2 linked regions of the Xenopus tropicalis genome follow. The protein of the gene in region 1 binds, or shares a complex with, the protein of each later gene. Links are inferred from orthologs where the notes say so. Each region holds a gene or a part of one and is shown on either strand. Other genes may lie near its edges.

Region 1 (4,519 bases):
ATAGAATTTCTCATTTCTTTCCAAGAAGTTTTTGGCTTCCTCCCCCAGCACTCCACCATAGATTTCTATTATCTAAAGGTTTGGCCAAGATCAGAAAATAGCCCTAATCTGCATTTTAATTGAGATTCCACAGAAGGGGAGACCGTGCCTCAATCCCTACTTATCAAGGGGCTTTAGTGCAACCCCCATTAAACCCGCACAATGAGCGGGGGCACCATGTACACTCTCATATAAAGCCAAGGAATTCAGCCTCCCTCTTGGCCACGGATTCCCCCATTGTATGCACCCCAGATTCCAGCACACAATGTACATTTAATGAGGGCTCCACAATGCACTTTTTCACACTTAACACATCCAGTACGGAGATTTGTAAAAGGGTTGTTATCTTTTTAGACCAAGCTCCGACACCAAGGTACAATGGAGCTTCACAACAAAATGCAAACACCAACGCACAGTCCCAAGAGCAGTTGGCACACAGGGATTTTACATGCAGCCCCTGGAACCTTTACATTATAGATGGATTTTTTCCCCCTTTACAAACAGCCTTCAAGTCAGTTCCTTGATTAACACCAGATACCACGCTGACTGGGTTAGGAATTCACGGCCGGTGGGACAAAGGAATGTTTTGCAAGGATTTTTTTTATAATGATAAAGAAAACCTGAATTTTCCAAAATGTGAAGCTTTTGTTGGGCTGCGTTCAGGGGCCTGTAATGCGTCTGTGGCTTTGCCCGCTGTGTGGGTGCTAAACACCTAACAGGCCTCTCTCACGGGTAGAATCCTAGCCCCTTTCTTCCTTGCCCGATGCAGACTATAAACCTGTCATTAATGGATCGGCAGTTCGTTTAACCTGTAGGAAGCACCCCCCCCAACCCTGATGTTGCCGAGTTTTGCGTAGAAAATAAAGGAGGACAAATAAAGAGAATTAAAAGCCGAAGGGGCTGCTGTGGGGCAGGCAATATTAGGCTCAGCAGGAGGAGAACATGTAAAATATTCATGCAAATATCCAAAATATGAGGACCTGGGGGTGCATTATTGCCCCCAGGACATTTTACATAAAACAGTCTTTACAAGATAGCGTTAGTACATGAATGCAAACACAGACATAGCGAGGGTACATACACACTACTACTCAGACTGTCCGTGCCCCTTGTACTGGGCCCCTCGAGCATCTTAGCACCTAAACAGTCCTGTCAAACCCTAGGGCAAAGGCACGCAATGGATCCTGCATTGGTTCCATGACCCTTTACTTGTCCAGCCCTACGTATGTACACAGTGGAAATGTAAATGTGGCTTGTGGCTCTGCTCTATGCATATACATAGCAACCGGTCCATCAGACCCGGTGGGTTCCAGCATTCGTGCCCATTGTGATACATAACTGTACAAAGAAAGACCCTATTGTTTAGCGAGCATTTAGGAGCAATCAGGAGTCGCACTCCCCTACTGCACAAGGGGTACCCACGGGTATAACATTGTAACCTGTAAAAGCAAATCCACATTCTGCAATGTTGTTTGTCCAGCCTGCAGCCCTCCAGCTGATCTGGAACTCCCAGAATTCCCCAGTAAGCTATAAGCATCAGATAATAGTGAGAGTGGCATTTAGACTGTCTGGTCATGACCAAGGGCCTATGTTTATATGTTACATTCATAAACCTACTTGGGGCAAAGCATGCTTTGTTGCATACCATAATGCAGGCCGCAGTGGCCCTCCATATTATTCACATTTATTTATAAAGCGCCAACATATTCCGCAGCGCTGAACAATAAGTGGGTTCCATACATTGGACATACAGAGTAACATATAAAGCAATCAATAACCGATACAGGAGGTGAAGAGAGCCCTGCCCAAAAGAGCTTACAATCTACAAGGAGAAAGGGTTGAGACACAAGGTGTTGTTCAACTGCAACAGGCTTTGGGCAGTCAAAAGCCGCTCACTTGTAGGCTGCCCAATGGCTGACCATTATCACCCAAGTTTGACCATTAATTACCAGCTTTTCTTAGTTTGGGAAATATGATTGCTTTGATCCCATTTGTCTATAACAATTATAATAACACATAGACATAGCGCCTTCTACAACAACTTTCCAACATCAATCCTGGGAGCTACCACACAGCTTGCATGGCAGGGGTAAAATTAAATATTATCCACTCACTCCAATAATATAGCGCCTCATAGTGGCCAAACATGCCAGAAAGCTTTAATATTTAAACCCAATTTCTTGTAGGCACTTGAGTACCATTCACTTCAGCAATAAATACAAGCTGGGCAAAAGTCCATGTTTTTCAAAATTCATAACGATCTAAAGCTGTTTTAAATGTTCTAAAACACCAACCCACATTATCATGCATTGCTCCCATAAATAAAGACCATAAAGTAAAATATGCAACAAACATCACCCTGCAGCGGTTTTGTGCGGCAAAGCGAATTTAACGCATTGCGCTTCCAATTACGCACAGCGATTTCCTCATTACCTGATTAAAGCAAGGAGTTTTAGACAAGTTTAACCAATGACATGACACAGGTATATCCCCTGTGGGGGTCTGTACCCCAGTTCTATTAGGCTGAGAAGCCCCTCCTAGAGTTACAACGTTGCGGGTTTGTTGGCATTACCTGGAGAGATGGCGGTGTAAGAAAATCCCCTCAGCCCTGCATCAGGCGTGTGCCTGGCAAGACTCCGTGTGTCCCAGGGGACAGATTCCCAAGTCCCGTTTCAGCCAATGAGAAATACGTATCCCTCCGAGCGCAGGGTGAGCGAGTCCCGATCCCGACTCAGAGCCCGGTAACCAGCAGCAGCCAAAGCCAGTGAGGTTCCAAAGAGGGGAACAGGCAGAATCCCCTTTGCAGGGTGAATGAGTAAGTTCTCTGTGATTTCTTTTCTCTCTGAGTGAATCACCAATCCCCTGATAGTCCCACAGTGATGAATCCCGCAAGGTTCAGTGCATAGGAATCCCGGTAAGTGCTATCCAGGCAAGCCAAGCCCTTCCAGGCAGCAGTGCAGCCACAAACAATAAGGTAATAGGTAGGGAAAGTTCCCAAAAGTGGATGTGTGAGAGGTGCAACCCAGTGTAGATCCCGTGTGTGAGGGGCAATGGAAAGTCTGTGTGACTTTTCCCTCCCTCCCCCTCACTCCTCATCCTCACTCCCAGCCCCTTCCTCCTCCCTGAGTCACTCCCCTCTGTCTGGAACCTGAGCCTTCATCCCTCCCTTCATCCAATGCTGGAGCAGCTCCTCTCCCCTGGCCCAGTCTCCCTTCCCCAAGCCCTGCTGGCCCTCCCCCTGTGCCTGCCCCACACTTTGGCATACATCACTGCACAGACTGGGGAAGGTTTGTTTGTATTGGAATTACTATGCTATGTGCGCTCTCTTTCTCTCCCATTTTCCATCTCCTTCTCCTAATATTTATCTTCTCTTCATACCCCCCTCATCATTAAACAAACAAAAAAAAAATTAAGATCACCGGTGAGGTCACAGTATTTTAGTGATGTCATACTGTGTACTTGCATCGCCATTGGGCAATAGGGTTGGCAATGTTAACAAGAGAAAAATAATCTTCTACTGCCTAATTATAAATATATTATAAGTAATATTTTTATGGCGCTACTAATTATATTCAGCTATACAAAGTAGAAAATAAACCTCTGTGCCAAAGAGCTTACAATCCTGTAACTGTCACTGCTATAGGGAGGCTGGAAGGTTCTATAGGTTCTACTGAATAGGTGATTGGTAAAAAGTGCTTTGAAAGGGTACAGATTGCAGCACTCAGGCTCAGACTGGCAATCTGTGGATTCTGCAAATGCCAGCTATATAAAGTAAGCCTCTGTACCAAAGAACTTACAATCTAAAATCCTGTCACTGTCGAAGGGAGGCTGGAAAGTTCTGCTGTATAGATGATTAGTGTCTTGAAAAGGTACAAATAGGGACACTCGGGCCCCGACTGGCAATCTGTGGGTCCTGGCAAATGCCAGCTATATAAAGTAAGAGTAAGCCTCTGCACCAAAGAACTTACAATCTAAAATACAGTCATTGTCAAAGGAAGGCTGGAAAGTTCTACTGTACAGATAATTTGTGTCTTGAAAGGGTACAAATATGTGTGTATGTATGTATATCTTTATTTATAAAACGCTACTTATGTACGCAGCGCTGTACAGTAGAATAGATTAATACAAACAGGGTGTTAATAAGATAATAGATAAATACAAAGTATAATAATAAATACAGATAAATACAGCAGCAATAAGTTGAGAGTCGAGGATACAAGAGGAAGGAGGTCCCTGCCCCGTAGAGCTTACAATCTATATAAATAGTGACACTCAGGCCCGGACTGGCAATCTGTGGGTTCTGGCAAATGCCAGAGGGGCTGCTGTAAGATGCCATAGACACTCACTATTTATTGGGCTAGTGGGGGGCTGTTTGGGCTTCTCTGTACATGAAATACCAGGGCCTATTTTGACTCCCAGACACTGTCCCTTACATAGTGGGGGTCACAAGGAGCAGCAGGTACAGGTAGGAAGAGTTGGC
Region 2 (4,552 bases), about 12 Mb from region 1:
ACTAATGGACTTCACACTTTCAGAACCCTCCGAATTTTCCTTAATTCCACTGTGCCATGATTAAAAAATTCTCACTACCCGATGGGAGAGATTAGCTGTTTGCAGATAAAACGTGTGAACTGCCCAAAGCCCACGGATAAGCCAATTGCCGCAGTGACAAAGTTCTCTACATGGTGCTACTTTTTGGTCTTATAACACATTCATTATAGAACATTAATGGACCTGTTGCTTTTCATACTCTAAAGTGCACTAAAGTGTTATGTTTTGCGTATATATTTATTATTTTCTTAAATACGCCTGCATTCTTTGTGAATCTACAGAGAGATGGATAGATAGATCGATAGCTAGCTAGATAGATAGATTATAGATAAAGATAAATATACTTTTATATGCCTGCATTTTTTGTGAATCTAGAGAAATGGATATAGTTAGATAGAAAGATGATAGATAGATGATAGATAGATAGATAGATAGATAGATAGATGATAGATAGATAGATAGATAGATAGATAGATGATAGATAGATAGATAGATAGATAGATAGATGATAGATAGATGATAGATAGATAGATGATAGATAGATAGATAGATAGATAGATGATAGATAGATAGATGATAGATAGATAGATAGATAGATAGAAAGATAGATAGATAGATAGATAGATAAAAGATAGATAATAGATGATAGATAAATAGATCATTGATAGAAATACTTATATTCGCTTGCATTCTTTTTGAATGTATAGAGATTGATATATATATATATATATAGGCAGATAGATAACAGATAGATTAGATGGATATGGGTTAAGCTAGATGGATATATAGACAATTGGTCAGGCCGATTAAACGATTGTAGGTGTACTAGTCCCTCTATAAAACAAATCCACCATCTGCATGTATTAAGCTATGTACATATACACACACTGTGCTTTAACCTTGTTGCAGTCACTTGTTCCCGAACTGCTGAATTAGAGATTTTACCTTTCAAGTGGAAATGGGTAATTGGGGATTTAAATGCCCTCTCTAACCCATCTGTACAATGGAGTGCATCCTGTGAGCCTAGATATACAAGGGGGGTGGTTTCCAGCTCCATCCTCCCACATTTAACCCAGGACAGATGAGAAGGGAGTTTGACATTGGAGAGTTCAGGACAAGAGGAGGGACAAGGGCTGATCGCTGGCAATCACTTCACTTAGTGCTCAATGAGACAGCGGCCAACACACAGACTCACACTCTCTCAGGGCTATCAGGAGGTCTCTGAGCCGCAGCCACTCAGCCAGGTTGTTCTATTGGCCGGTGGGATCGCAGCTTGTGCATAGAAGGAGAAAGCCTTACTCATCAACACTTTCATCATCAGCTCTCACACACCAAGCGCTGCCTTCAGCCCAACACAACGTCATTTTGGAAGCGAGAGAGCGAGAGAAAGTGATCCTCCCAGGTTGGGAAGTAGCTCGCATTCTTACTCTGACTTTGCGCTCTGACTTTGCGCTCTCTCTCTCTCCTGAGCGCTCAAGCTGACAGCGCTGCGCCTACATCTGCGCCTTGGGACCGGGGGGCCGGCACAGCACTGGGACAATTGTCAGCGCATCTCGGCTGTTTCTTTTCTCACTTGGAGGCAAGTGGCAGGGGAGCCGTGTGAGCTCCGCACCAGCTGTAGCGCCGGAGGGATTGTACCGATACGCCAGGGGGCTGCTCTCAGGCTCTCCCCATCACTATCATTACTATTATTGTTATTATCAGCATCATTATTTGGGAAGTCGCTGCGTCTGTTTCGGACAAGGAGTGCAGCGTGTTTCTACTCACCCCCCCCGTCTCCCTGGCTGTGGCTCGGTGCCCTCTCTTCCAGACTCGGCTGCCTGGCCAAGGGGATGGGCGGAGGGAACTGCGGGAGCTCCCGGGACTAGGAAACGGCAGCGCTGCACCTTCCCCTGCTACCAGCCGGGCAGCTCATCGGCCGAGCAGCCGCTCCACTGCAATCCGACTCCCTGGGACTATCGGGCAGCCCGACAGGCAGAGGCACCCAGCAGGGCAGGATGAGCTACATCACCTCCATCCTGGGCTATCTGTAAGTATTGGGGCACCCAGCACCCACATTGCTCCCACTCTGCCCGCACCCTGCTTGCTAACTGGACCTTCTCTTCTATTTTTACAGGTTACTGCACTTGTTTGTCATCTGCCTACAAGCCCAGGTAAATTGAATTTTTATTTTCTATCCTCTGCTACTTGCATGTTAATGTTTTTTTTTTTTCAATTGGCTCAGAGTCAGGTTCACTTTAGACTTTTTTTACTATTATATTTTCTTCCAAAGAGCCGAATTATAATATCAAATCCAAATTCACTGCCAGTCTAATGTGCAGAATGAGCTGCTAAACCAATATTTGGGGTGCCTGGTTCTCCCACTAGATTAGGGGTCACTGGGTATCATTTCTGCAGTACCCACACTTCCCTTACTAGTAATTAGAACTGATCTTACTGGATAAGATTTATAGGGACTTGTCTTTGGATCTGTGCTGTAGGAACCAGCCTTAGGAATGTTAGGGGCCTAAGTTGTAATAATTAAACAAAAAACTCATTATCAGGGCAATATTGTTCTGTGATTTGCTGGGACAGATCAATAGTGGCCCTAACTTATAGATATCAGGGCCAGTAAGGAAACATGGAGATTAAATGCAGAGTTTTTTTTTTTTAGTTATCAACTGTTGCTCTGCTCTGCTGTATATCTATACAGTTCCCATTCATGTGATAATTTAAAATGAAAGGGAGCATCAAACTATGAAGAGCTATTTTAAAAAAGAAAAAGAACTGTTTGGATCTCATAGGGAGAGGAGCAAGAAGCGTATGGCAAGCAGACCTTCTCCATATGTTGCCCACATTGGAGCTGGCATCGGCATCTAAACATATTGTCCATGCAAGAGCTGGAAGAATAGGCTCACCCACCGAAAGAGAGGGTATAAGGAGGGAGAGTGAGGCACCGAGGGGAGAGGGAAGCTGAAATTGTCAGGCCTGTGCATAAAATACTGCAGACTTTGTGAGGTATGGGCTGTTCCTGAGATGTTAAATCTCTGATTTGTTATGGGGATTGCAGCTTGAGCTGGCTCATTGCCCCCAAGGGTGAAAGTCGCATCTTCTTCCCATTTTCTCAGAATATATCTTTATAAATGTCACAGCCAAGCACCCTTCTGTAAGGTTTAAATATTGCTTAGCCTCCCTGCAAGGAAAGCCTTATTCTGCACTGGCATGGCGAGTGTTACACTATGGCTCACTAGTGAACCTTACTCTTGTGCATGTTTCAACTCAAGTGTAAAATTATTTTATGCTAATGCAGCTTATGGCATTGTTTTTCTATATTGTGATCATAAATAGAACCAATAAATGCTTTATCACTAGATGTTGGGCCAGGGAGGTAGGAGAGTAAGGTTATTTCTCAATATATATAGTTGTTAAACTGCAAGTCCTAGGAGATACTGGGAGTTGTAGTCTATCAGTTGTAGTCTTATCCCCCACATCTGAGCAGGTTAATGTGAGTTTCTAAACTGAAATGCTTGTCAGTCGTTTCAGATATTTATAAACCTCCAGCCCATTCCGCACTGCTGAGTAGCAATAACAATCCCAATCAATACAATAGCTGGAGAGGGCCTTGCTCAGAAGAGCTTCCAGTCTAGAAATATTTCCTTCTATTTATCAAACTGAATGACTGCTAATGCAGAGTATACAGGCCATAATGAATAGGCCAGGATACATATTTTGTCCTGGTTTCCTTTTGGACAATGCATTTTGCCCACACAATAAACTGTGTTGGCCGTCATTCAGCTGTATTAAGAAGTATAAATATAATAGCTTGTTTTATATATTTCCTAAAGGTAACTGTTCAGTCCCCACCTAATTTTACACAGCATGTGAGGGAGCAGAGCCTGGTGACCGACCAACTAAGCCGACGGCTCATCCGAACCTACCAGTTGTACAGTCGGACCAGTGGCAAGCATGTGCAAATCTTGGGGAACAAGAAGATTAACGCCATGGCAGAAGACGGCGACCCACATGGTAAGAATACAATTTCATATATTTTTATGTATGATGAGAAGTTTTATATCTGTGTGTACTGCAGGGTGGTCCAGGGAGCAGAATGTGTGCAACAGGTGGGACCTACCTGCAGTTTGGAATGAAACATCATATAATAGGGGATTACACAGAAGGTGGAAGTTATTTGCACTATTTCAAAAACCCATAGTAACCAATCAAACATGTGCTTTAGCACTCAACCAACAAAAGCTAACTTCTCATTGGGTGCTATAGATTTTTGTTCCACTTTGCCCTTGTCTCAGCATAACCTATATAGAGTTAGATACAAATGGTCATTGGGTGTAAAAGTCATAAGAAGTATTTGGTGGCTACATACACTAAGTAGTATTTGTTCATGGATGGAGCTTATTATTTTATATTTGTGTCCGTGCAGCAACTGACGCAGTTCTTAGTTCATATATGCTATTATATATATGTGGTCCTCAGAAAAAATGCAGATTAATGATTAAATAGACGGTTACTCAAGTCC

What was found.
Region 2: the proteins of fgfr2 (region 1) and fgf8 are in contact, whole or in part, in a crystal structure (PDB 2FDB), measured with the Homo sapiens proteins. The link is inferred for Xenopus tropicalis from reciprocal best matches to the Homo sapiens genes FGFR2 and FGF8. Residues at the interface, in NP_000132.3 of Homo sapiens: Glu160, Lys161, Glu163, Lys164, Leu166, His167, Ala168, Val169, Pro170, Asn173, Asp247, Val249, Arg251, Ser252, Ser282, Asp283, Ala284, Gln285, Pro286, His287, Ile288, Gln289, Ile291, His293, Leu309, Val311, Leu312, Lys313, Ala314, Ala315; in NP_149354.1 of Homo sapiens: His53, Val54, Gln57, Asp62, Leu64, Ser65, Arg66, Leu68, Ile69, Arg70, Tyr72, Tyr75, Arg77, Gly80, His82, Val106, Glu107, Thr108, Thr110, Phe111, Gly112, Ser113, Val115, Thr148, Glu149, Ile150, Val151, Leu152, Glu153, Asn154.

The regions. Positions count from the first base shown.
Region 1 is NC_030683.2:19,258,091-19,262,609, reverse strand, and holds the start of fgfr2 (fibroblast growth factor receptor 2 precursor), read right to left. Parts: upstream 2,998-4,519; 5' UTR 2,612-2,997; intron 1-2,611. UniProt on the Homo sapiens protein: Tyrosine-protein kinase that acts as a cell-surface receptor for fibroblast growth factors and plays an essential role in the regulation of cell proliferation, differentiation, migration and apoptosis, and in the regulation of embryonic development.
Region 2 is NC_030683.2:31,018,436-31,022,987, reverse strand, and holds the start of fgf8 (fibroblast growth factor 8 precursor), read left to right. Parts: upstream 1-1,732; 5' UTR 1,733-2,036; coding exon 2,037-2,068; intron 2,069-2,155; coding exon 2,156-2,192; intron 2,193-3,863; coding exon 3,864-4,044; intron 4,045-4,552. UniProt on the Homo sapiens protein: Plays an important role in the regulation of embryonic development, cell proliferation, cell differentiation and cell migration. Required for normal brain, eye, ear and limb development during embryogenesis.